Linked DNA regions of Oryzias latipes. The protein of the gene in region 1 interacts with the protein of each later gene in a biochemical or structural test. Links are inferred from orthologs where the notes say so. Each region holds a gene or a part of one and is shown in the gene's direction. Other genes may lie near its edges.

The links. The genes of interacting proteins can lie anywhere in the genome.
Region 2: of the proteins of srebf1 (region 1) and sirt1, one has a biochemical effect on the other in vitro, tested with the Homo sapiens proteins (2 studies listed by BioGRID, with this or other methods). The link is inferred for Oryzias latipes from reciprocal best matches to the Homo sapiens genes SREBF1 and SIRT1.

Annotation. Positions count from the first base shown.
Region 1 is NC_019866.2:12,398,502-12,404,395, forward strand, and holds the start of srebf1 (sterol regulatory element-binding protein 1), read left to right. Parts: upstream 1-2,501; 5' UTR 2,502-2,764; coding exon 2,765-2,870; intron 2,871-5,894.
Region 2 is NC_019873.2:29,790,133-29,796,167, forward strand, and holds the start of sirt1 (NAD-dependent protein deacetylase sirtuin-1), read left to right. Parts: upstream 1-2,059; 5' UTR 2,060-2,094; coding exon 2,095-2,428; intron 2,429-3,134; coding exon 3,135-3,257; intron 3,258-3,332; coding exon 3,333-3,568; intron 3,569-3,648; coding exon 3,649-3,801; intron 3,802-6,035. Other genes in the region: dnajc12 (dnaJ homolog subfamily C member 12), read right to left, coding at 966-1,253. UniProt on the Homo sapiens protein: NAD-dependent protein deacetylase that links transcriptional regulation directly to intracellular energetics and participates in the coordination of several separated cellular functions such as cell cycle, response to DNA damage, metabolism, apoptosis and autophagy.

The DNA of each region.
Region 1 (5,894 bases):
AACATCTAAAGAGAAGACATTTTCCCATGAAAGATTTCCTGTTTTTTATTTTTATTTTTATTTAATTCAGGTGTCTGAAAAGACCCAAAAAGCCAATGGAGTATAAACTTTGAAAGCTGCAAACACTTGTAGCCCCATTCCAAAGAAAATAAAGGCTTTAAAGACCAACTTTGACTTAATTCAACTTGTCAAATGTATTTTGACAAGTTTGTTTGTGGAAAAATGCAGGAAAAACAGATTAAAAATAATAATTATTTTTTTAAAAGATATATCGTTAATTTGCACAAAACTTATATCTGCAACACTTGCATAAAAGTGGAAACCTGCCAAACATCCCACTTTCAAATTCACTCAAGGATATTAAAACAGTTTCAATTAAAATACAAAACCAAAAAAAGCATCTCCATATGATCAATATAAAAAGCACCTGCATCAGAATCCAGTAAAAGGGCAAAACAGATGTCTCACTATATTAGTTTTGCACAAAACCTGTTTCCATACTTAAGTCCGTACCTGCTTAGTGCTGCAAGAATACCTCGTAATGTTGGACTTTTAGCTTCTGAATGTAGTCAAGAACATATTAAAGCTAATTTCTGAAAACATTACAAGGTTAATTTATATTTAATACCACAGCCAAAACATTTTGTTTTATCCATTTACTTTTATTTTCTTGTATTCATATGCTCTTTTAAACTGCTGCCAAGCATCTGACATTTATAGATTTTTTGCAAACATGCTTTGACTTTTATCTTTTTGGCGTATGCAAAAAAACAACACACACACAAAAATTTGAATTTTATCTTCTTTCCATTTTCCATTACGTCCCACTTGTGTCCATTTATTATGAGAAGCCATGCGTATAAAAAGCAGTTAAAACGCCACGTTTATCAGTATTTTATTATGCAATTGCCCAAGTGGAGAGAAACATTTATGATTTATAATTCTAAATACGGTAGAAATATTGGAATTTTATTTAGGCAACCAATTTTGATTTATGTTTCTCATTTCATACTATATGGTTACATGCATTTACCATGTCTACCTGGTGATTTTTGTAGCTTTTTAAACAACATGCACCATCCAAGCTGACAGTGAAAGGCACTAAAAATTTAACAAGGTATTCTTTTGAGTGTTGTTTGAGTGGATAACAGTGTATTTTTTGAAACATTGTTTCTCGAAAGTACAAAAATGAATTCCTTAATGTTTTGTCAAAAAAGAGGTTGCTGCTTTTTTTCTTCTTTTTTTTTTTTAAATGTCATTATGCAGGATGTCAACAAGTCAAAGATGGGGAGGGGGGACCTCAGGCCTGTTTTCTGTCTTTGGATATTCCATGCATAATGTCTGCTGTCAGTAATGATGGTCAGATTTGGGTTGGCCTTATGCACACATGTAACTGCCCAATAAAACACTAGCAGTGTGTGACCTCTACCTCAAAATGTTGTCATTATTATCCACTGTGTGTTATTTTCTCCGTCTTCAAATGTATATTGTTGCTACCCGAAAAACATAATGAATTATCTTTTAGCCTATATAAACTAAACAAAAAAGTTATTTTTAAGGTGTTTTTTATGTTCTGCGATTTTGCCCACTTGTGTATGTGCACATACCTCTGCAATATTAAAAAAGTGCTCACGTTGATAACGTCCCTACATTTGAAACAATACGGGTTTACATAAAAAAAAACAATAACTATATGGTGTTATTTAGGTCAGTGACTTACTCTCGCAGTTATTGTTATTTTACCCGTCTAATTTTGAGCTCATGTTTACTTGGGAAACATTGTTTATATTAGCAGTTGCTGATGTAGGGGTACATTTAATGTATTTACATGAAAAAAAACTTCATCATGGGTATTGAGGGTTTATTTCTAATTAAAATGTGAATAAAATTTAGCGTTATTGTATTTCCAAAGCAACAGGAGCGTGTGCAATTTGCTACCCAGCTGCCGACTCTACTTTTACAGGATGATTACATGATGTAATCACTAGATTCGTGGCTGTGACGTAGGATCACCCCACTCGTTTTCCGAGATTCCTATTGGTCAATTGTACTGGTTCTACAGAAGGAGCCCTCGCTTCGAGTCAAACAAACTTGGCTGCTAGTAAGGTGACGCCCATGCATCCGCTGATTGGCTGTTCAAGGCAAGCCTACAAAAAACAGGTACATGCTTTTTTTCGTTAACTTTCAATTTGGTAGAATATATTTGTGAAATTAATTTCACAAAAGTGGATTGTTGTACTTCAGGACTACTACAAGCGTATAATTATGTAGTTTTTGAAATATCGTTACTTATTCAAACTGTGTAACTTTAACAGTTTAACAAATGTTGATTTAAAAAAGTATATTTTGTAAAATAGTGACTTTTCTCTTTATAGTCATACTATTTTGTGTTTAATCAAAACAATCACAAGAAACGAGAACGTGAGAATCCTGTGCTCAGTCGCTGATAGGCCGGTTCATGTGTCAATCATCCACCAGTGGGGCAGGGTTCCTTCGGCTTCCACTACAAGCATGTTCGTGTTGAATGAGCTTCAGTGTTTGTCTCGGTTTGACAAGTTTCCCAGGTTTATTATGGTGGCAGGATTGAGTAGATAGTTGACACATGAGTAAAAACAGTTGATTGACTGGAAATTGCAGGTTACGTTGTAATCCGATACTCGGTCAAATGTAGAGATTTAAGGGTGCCATTTTTTTCCTCTTAAAATTTTTGGACAACTAGGCAAGTTTACACTAGAGCAGAGGTAGTTACATTACAACCGTAAAGATGAATCGCCTATCGTTTGATGATGCTTCGTTGGATAACCTGGATCCCACGCTGTCGCTAAATGACCCCAGCGATATCGACACGGCCCTCCTGAACGATATTGATGGTAAAGAAGATGCGACATGTTTGTGTTGTTAACCAGTTGTGTAAATGTTTAGACCAACATACCGCTATGCATTAACGTTCTTTACAGCGGTGCAAGTTTATTTTTACTGAGTTTATTTGTTCTGTTGATATAAAGTGTTAAACAGAGTTAGAGAACCGAAAGTTTGCAGGCTTAATTAGCTGTCGAATATTCGCTCAGAAGATTGGAGAAGCTACCGACGTTTGCCATCTAACTTACAAGTACTTTTAAACGCAAGATGGGACAATACATTGTGATGTTACTGGGGCATTTATACGTTTATCATACTATATGAAGTGGTGCAGTAAATCAAAAACAGCCATAAGCTAATAGTTTAAAGCTAACGTGCTGCTAAGTGGTTGTGAGTTGGCCACGCCCCCAGCATAATTCACAAGCAGGGGTTACTGTCGTTCATTCCTCTTTGCTGAGTTCAGGTTCCCCACTTGACCGAGTTATTGTTCTGTTTTTGCCGAAATAAAATGTTGTCATGGCTGATCATCATATGAAACATTTAAACGCCACAAACAATCCGCTTGTTAAACTGCCTTGCTATGCTCTTATTACGAAGATTTGTATTACCCGTAATTTTCATTACAAATTGTGTAAACCGACTTTATTACGATAAATCTGAAGCAATTTCTGGCAATTTACTTGTAATAGCAAATATTTATTTTTGATAGCGACAGACATGTAAGATGATAAGGTGGTCTGTGTAAACAGTGTTTGGCAATGCATGTCTTGCTAAGGTGATCCCGAAAATCTAACCGACAGTAACCCTCGCGCGGCTGCTCGATAGTAACCTCTCCTGAAGCAGCTCTCCCTCTCCTCTGTGTCTTGGGCTGATCGGCATAGCAAGTCTGAGAGGCGCGCTGTGATTGGTCAGGAGCGATCACCTCATGTGCAACGCTGCTTTAAATCCAGACGGTGTCCACTCTCTTATATTAGGTGTTCATTCATTCCAAATAGATTTAAAAAATATTTTGTGGGGAGAAAATTGTCTTTTGTTGAAGAATAAATTTAATTATATTTATAATAAAGGTCACCTTTTAATAATTCCTCAATTAAACACTATTTAGGTGATGAATCCGTCCGTCATCGTGCAACCTAAATGACAGTAGTTGCAAGACTAAAAAGAAGCACGTGGTCATTTTTCCCCAAAAAAAGAAAAAAAATAGCCAAGTAATCAGAAATAATATTAACTATCAAACAAGAATGCATGAAAAAAAAATCACAAGGAAGAAATCACTGTTCCATCTTTAAATTTAAGTTCTGTAATTGTCAGCTGTTACCACAAGTCATAACTTTGTTTTTATTTATTTACAAAAGAAGAGGAAAAAAAGAAATCAACCATAAGAAATTTTATATTTATATACTATTACATGCAACACTTTTAAAGAAAGGGGAAAAACACATTTTAGTCCCACTCCGATCATCTTGATTTATTTTAAAAGCATTCACATTGGTCTTTTTATCATGATTATGCCGTTTTTAGCCAAAATCAATAAACTTTTGTTGTTTTCTAGGACATAGTTTCTGCAAAGCAGCTGTAGTGTATTAGAATTTTGCCTCTTAGCTGAAATCTCAAAGCTGTTGGTGCGATGTAAGCCTGCCCACACTTCCCAATAGCCCTTTGTTTAGAGACTCTCTCCTGCTATCTTACAGCCCCTCAAACCCCCGACCTAACATTATTGGGGCTATCCTGCTGTACATTTTTGACCCAGATGCCAGCTCAGACGAGGAAAACAAAGACCTACACTAATGGCCTGCCATAGGAGCTTCTGTGTCACAACTACAAGTTTTTTCAAACTGCATTTTATTTCATCTGCTCCTTCATTAGAGTGGGTTAAAAAGCTCCCTATTTTATTAAATTCATTAAAAAAAAGTGTATTTCGTTTTAATGTTGAAAATATTGTTGGCTTTTGTCCGCTCAACAAAACAACTCCCTTCAACAAGCTGCATCGTTCCATCACTTGGGTTTCTAAATTATAATTTTTTTCACAAATATATCCGGTTATTTGAAACTGTAAATATTGTTTTAGTTAACTTTTGTCAAATATTAGGTGATCTATGGTTTGATGAATCGTTATCAATTAAATTAGATAAAAATAAGTCATTTTATTCCTGAGAAATTTGGTTGTAGAGGTCCCTGTGTCTACGTTTGTTGGGCCGAATCCAAATTCTTCCATTACCCCTGCAGTTATGGCTCATCGTGAAACAAGTAAAGCAACGCGTTTCTTCTCCCCACACATGTGCGATGCAGATTGCCCTACTGACGGAGGGATAACTAGCCCTAAGCTAGTCCCTACCACCTCTCCACTCAAGAAGCATTTTGGACACCACTACAGCTTCAAATGCCCCTACAGCTGGAGGGGAAGAATTTACATTTTATTTTATTTTTTTCCAAAGACACTTCCCCTAGTCTCAACCTTGTTGGTGAAATTATTGAGTTATGCAGTACGAGTAAAGTTAGTACTAAATTACTTTTAACGCTTATGAAAGCTAGGAATTATTTGAATATTCATGTTTTGCACCTGATGTGTTTCCCTTTTTACGCATTTAACATACAGTTTACCAAAAGCGTTCCAAGTGGTCTTTTAATGAAGATTAGGCTGTTTTTAGCCAAAAAAAAGTGTGTTGTTTTCTAGGACAGAGCAGCAGGAGTTCATCTGAAACTCGCCTCTGAGTTGTGGGAGGGGCTGTGGCCGCGGAAATAGACCTCCGCTCGTTTGCCGTGATCCCTTTGTTTACACGCTCTACCGCTGGCTTACAGCCCCCCATAACCCTAAGCTAACATTACTGCTGCAACAAAAATGGCGAGCAATATCAACGCTATCCAGCCGTGCAGTTTTGACCCGGAGGCCAGGTCGGGTGAGGGGGAGCAGGGAGACTGAGAGCATTTTCACATTTTCATCTGGCCCTGATTAACCACAGTTGGAATAATAAATACTCAGAAATGCAGTTTTAAGCTTCAATTCTTCTATACATGTCCTCCATCATGAGAAAAAT
Region 2 (6,035 bases), on another chromosome or scaffold:
ATGTGTTCATATGCACCCCGGAAATCTGTCAATTGAAGAATCCGGTCTGAAATTTAGTCAACAGACTTTAAACTTAACCTTTTGTTGTATTTTTATTGTGCGTATAAACAGAATTATCGCTAAAATCTGTTGGTTGAATTTTAAACAATATGTCGACTTTATGTAATTTTTTCAACCATAACTCAAAATAATATGCATTTCTCAATTGACATTACATTTGCTATTTGATCGTGTAATTTGCAATTCTAATATTTTGAAATCAATATTTAAAAATTACAAATTAATATGACAATTTTCAAAATAAAATAAAAAAACAGCAATTGTCAATTGAGAATTGCATATAACTCTAAATTATTGGTGAAAAAAACTTCTATACCACTTATCTGTCCTGTTGAAATGCTAAAAGTCTGACCTTTATATTCAATTAACCGAGTGATCATACAAAACTGACTATCAAATAATTGATCCTAAGGAGCTGATCTGATCCATAAACCATCAAGAGGACTGAAAGTTTGAGTCTTTCGTGCAGACAGACTGGAATAAATCTGATATGAGACGGAAACACCTCAGCCAGGACTTTCAGAATAAAATTAAAAATGTGGTTTTCATTTTTGCAACTGTAATCTGATTACTTTCGAGGATCTGATTACTCCCATTTCTCTGGGTTTTGAGGGCATGTAAACCAGTTTGGCAATCGGATTATCCTGTTAACATGATCACTTCAATAGTCTGACTGAATAAATCAGAGGATGATAATCAGATTTTCGGTGGTCACGTCATCGGCTTCAACCACCTGTGGTCCGGGATTCGGTTCTGACGCCACAGAGCACAGAGCGCGTGCAGCATCTCTTCGTGCGTCACGTGGTCTCTTTTCTCACGATGATCAACCTGCAGGTTGTTAATGGTCGACAAACATGTTTTCCTTTTCCTGCAGCTCGGGCAGGAATGACGTCATCAGAACTTACGGACGACAGCTCGTCGCACCCCAGCACTCCGTAAAAATCCTCCCGGTCCTCCGGTTTACTGCGCAGAAGGGAATCCATGGCTCTTCTTTTACCGGACCGGATCTCTGCGGTTCTGATCCAGGAAGGTCGATGGACCAACTCCCTCTTCCTGGGATGCCGCTGAGGTTCTTGGTTCTGGTTGGACTGGGATTCTGCTGATAAATCAGCTGAGTTTAAAAGAACCGAACAAGCTCTCACTTTCTCACCAACATGTGACGTGGGTTGCGTTCGAGGACCCTCCTTTGTCATGGGAGGAAACACTCCCGTTTTGGGTCATTCCAGTTAATACTAAACCTCAAAAAAATAAACTCAATGTGTAAGTATATATTGTAATTATAGCGTTTATATTTTGATATGTTTTCAGAATGCTGATAGAGAAGTTCTTGATTTAAATACATTTGATTCAGTTTCTGCCTTTTTATGCTGGAATTCTCCAAATCCGTCAACAGAGGAAGAAAACGCTTTAAACTAAAAAAATCTAATACTTTTTACAGCAATAAAAAATAACTTTACTGAGAATGTTTGCTTAAAAATTCAGTGTGCAACTGTTTTCGTGGTTGTGATTTAGTGTTTGATTTACCAAGTTCATAGTGAAAGTCTAATTTTAAATAAGCATAAAAACCTTTAACAAGCAGAAAACCTTAACACTCGGTTTACTTTTAATACGTTTAACGTAATATGCAATAATGGTAATAATAATGTTCATGCATGCAATTTTATATCAGAGCTTTTTTTTAAAGATGGCTTTTATTTTTATAACTAATTATTAGTTAGTGTGACGTCTGCTTTGAAAAATAACCATTGCTAGCAGATAACTTTCTGGTCACTTGTAAATTCTTTGTCTGATACTGAACTCAATCTTATTTATTAGACATATTTACTTCGATAGTTAATGCTGCTGATAATCTTTAAATGAGGTGTTTTCACCTTCGTTATTTATTTTTTCCTTATTATTATTTTTGCATATGTTTTAATGTCTTTCTTTTGTCCGACCGTTCATGAAGGCATCAGTCATTTGTTATGGTAGACGTCATCACGCGCGTTATGCAAATGAGCCAGCTGTCTGCTCGGCGGCTCCTGCGGGCTGAAGATGGCGGACGACGAGAGCAGCCACCGAGCGGCCTTCTCTGGAGCCTGCGTTGCGGACGAACCCGCCGCTAAGAGATCGAAAATCACTCCACCGGACGACCGCGTCTTCAGATCCATCGAGGCGGAGCCGTTTTCCTACGTCTCCCCGGCCACGGAGAGCCGGGAGGCGGCGGTGAATTGCGAGCAGCGGGCCGAGAGGGAGGCGAAGCCGGCGATGGCGGGGGAGCAGGCCGCAGCGGGCGGAGACAACAATGGGCTGGGACTGCTGGGATGCGAGCCGCCGAACCCAGCCGAGAGGCTGAGCTTCGGCTTTGGTTCTGCTGAGGGGAGAACGGGTGAGTACTTCTGGTTCCCTGACGAAGGGCTCCGTGTTTTCATCGCTCGGAACGGCTGGTTGTTAGCCCGACGTACCGAAGATGAAAGGAACCGGAAGCGGCAGGAAACAAACCGATGCTCGGCGAAGTTCTCGTTCCTGTTCGAGAACTTCGCCGACTTTGACCACGTGACTCGTGTTGACCTAAAAGTCCAAACTTTGGCGGAACTAAACCGTTTAACCCAACTGGAAAATAGAGGTTTAAAAATCCATCAATCGAGTTCAGTCAAAAACTGAACTCCGGGATTTAATTTAAGGTAATTTCCCGGATTTTCTTATGTAAAGATAATTAATTATGAAATAAAAGCTCCACATTTATCCAAACATTAGAAATGATGAATTTCTAATTAAAGTTATTAATCTCAATAGAATAGATTTAGGTGTCATTAATGAATCTTAAGATCCATCAGTTATTGGTTTATTTATAACATGGAAATAGAAAACAGAAATCAGGAATTTTCCTTTATATTAAAATTAAGAAATTAACCAGGAATCAATGAATTCCCTTTATATGATTGAAGTTCTATTAAGTTGAGGTGGCTCCAATCAGAGCAGCTCCTTCAGCTGCATTTTAGTCATCCTTTCCTGAAGCATGAATACGGTCCGCGTCGTGTGGCGGCAGAGGTCTCGGCGTTCGGCCTTTGACCTGCCGGTTTTGCCCTCTTCAGGCTTCCTCGGGGCTGACGATCTTCCCTCCAACGGTCTCGCCGTCACACCAGAACACCTTAACGACGACGATGACGGATCCTCTCATGCTAGTTCCAGCGACTGGACTCCGCAGCCCCAGATCGGTCAGAATGAGGCAGGAATGTATTTTCCGCGTCTCCCTGCAAAGCCGTTGTGAGCTCAGGTGTGTGCGTGTGCAGGTTCCTACAGTCTGATCCATCAGCACATCAGAGAGACGGACCCCAGGGCCATTCTGCGGGACCTGCTGCCCGAGACCATACTCCCACCCGATCTGGACGACATGACCCTGTGGCAGATCATCATCAACATCTCAGAACCTCCCAAAAGGAAGAAGAGAAAAGACGTGAACACTGTGGAGGACGTGGTCAGACTGCTTCATGAGAGCAAGAGGATCATGGTTCTGACCGGTGCAGGTGTAGGTGTTTCAGTCCCCAGAAGGGCTTTTTCTGCCTTCATGTTGGGTAAAGAAACGGTAAACACCGGTTTGCTTCGCAGGTTTCAGTTTCCTGTGGAATTCCCGACTTTCGCTCCAGAGATGGGATTTACGCTCGGCTTGCTGTCGACTTTCCCGACCTTCCCGATCCGCAGTCGATGTTCGACATCGAATACTTCCGACGAGACCCCAGACCGTTTTTCAAGTTTGCTAAGGTTGGAAGGTTTTTTTTGTCTCTTCCTTCTCTGGTCCGGCCCAAGTTTACTAAACTAAAGCCCCCAAAATGTTTGTGACATTTAAATGATTTAACTCACACTTCTGACTAAATTCAGATGAAAAACATATTTCACTATGTGTCTATGAAGCCTCTCATTCATCCAGGTAGATTCCATCATAGTAGTGGGTTTAGGGGCCGTCATCTGGACTTAAGAGATGGTTCGTTGTGAAGGTCCTTCACATTTCCAATTAAATATGATCTTTTGTGATCTCCTGTTTGACCCTGAAATGACCCAGAAGTGACCGGCATGCGCAGAAGAGTCCTCAACGGTGACCGACGTCACTGTTGTTTATGGAAGTAGCTAACGTTAGCAATGGATGTCAACAACAGTGTTGTCAACAGCAGAGCTATTTTTGCTTTATTACATTTATTTTCACAAAGGAGCCAGAATAATTACAATCTTCTCATTTTAAAAAGAAATTTAAAAAGGAGGAAAGTTTGTGGCCATGGCGTTTTTTGAAGCAGTGTTAGCCAAGTCTGTACAGAGAAACGTGTGGAGTGGTGGGATACTGATGTGAGGAGCCAGGATCGTCTGTACCCTCAGCCATTTAGCTGGAAATGTTTTCAAAAACTGCCCGGTTACGGTAAGAGCCCTGGAGTTTGGCCTGAATAGAGAAATATGAATCCAATCGGTGACCTCACTTCCCTAACACTGACTGGTCTCAGCAGCATCTTCGCCATGGTTGATGTTTATGATCTAGTTCCTGCCTACTTCAATGCAGAATGATGACGTTTGTAGCGTATCGATGACGTACGGGTCGGATTCATGTGGCCTGGCCGCTCAGACAGAGGTCGAAGAGATCGGATACGTATTCGATTCAGGACCACATACCAAACTGGCTTGGGTCGCATTCGAAAAAATCGGATCTGTGTCGTTCAGACTGTCATGAAAAGATCAGATACAGGTCGCATAGGGGCAAAAAATTGGAATTGGGTCGTTTCAGCCTGCAGGGTGAACGTAGCCTTTTAGGCCCGTACACACCGGGACGAATTTCGTGCGCGATATTTGCCGGCGTTTAACGCCTTGTGACTAAATAAAGGGCACCAATGTGAGTGTGCACACCGACGCGAAAAACGCCACGAGTAAAAGCGTCATTTTTTAAAAAACGCCTCGGGTTCGTTTTTTTGGTTTGACGCACCGCGTCAAAAACTACACGACCAATGAGAACGGCGTTTTTGCACACGTGTCTGGAGCTTCTGCAGTTACAGTAAAACACAACTTGGGGGCGCTCAAACACAAAACTGCCTTGCTGAGCACACATACCAGCGAAGAAGATAGACGTCAAGTTGCACCTACACTGCCACGAAGAAATAAGACGAAGAAGATGCACTCACTGACGGACATTCTAAAATATCCCCGAAAACGCTCATGATACATTTTCAGCTCTTGTACCAGTCGATAAAACTCCCCATGTTCTTCTCTTCTTGTAACTATGGGATGTACCCAAAATCGACGTCTTCTCTGGCGTCCTTCATCATTAAACAGAACAATAATTTCTTCATCGCTGGAACTGGAGCTACTGGTGCTGGAAATATTCATGTTTTCTTTGTTTGATTCTGACAAGCACGTAAATACTTGCTCTCTTCTTCTGAGTGAAAAGCGACTTTAAGAAGCGTAAAGTTGCACAGCGCCACCTTGTGTACAGGAGTATTTCTGTTTACATTAAGCGCCATGTAATGTCAGGGAATGAAATTGCATGTTCGCTCGGCTCATCGTCAGCGAAAATCGCCTGGGTGTGAACACAAAAAACGTGTTGAAAAACGCTGGCGAATAACGCCTGGCGAATATTCGTCCCGGTGTGTACGGGCCTTTAGACAACAGGGTTTCGGGTCGTTAGGAGTCCTTTGTCCTCCTTGGGCAGGGTAGCTACTGTCGCCCCACCCCAGCTGAGGAAAAAGGACACCTAACGACCCGACACCACATGGTCTTAGTAGACAATGGCTACGTTCACACTGCAGGCTGAAACGACCCAATTCCGAATTTTTTGCCCCTAAGTGGCCCAATTCCGATCTTTTCATGACAGTCTGAATGACACAGATCTGATCTTTTCAATTGCGACCCAGGCCCCGTGGGTTTGCCGTCCTGATTCCGAATTGTAGCCGTTCTTTTCAATTGCGACCGCCGTCTTACCGGCCAGGCGACTTGATTCCGAACCGTACGTCATCGACACG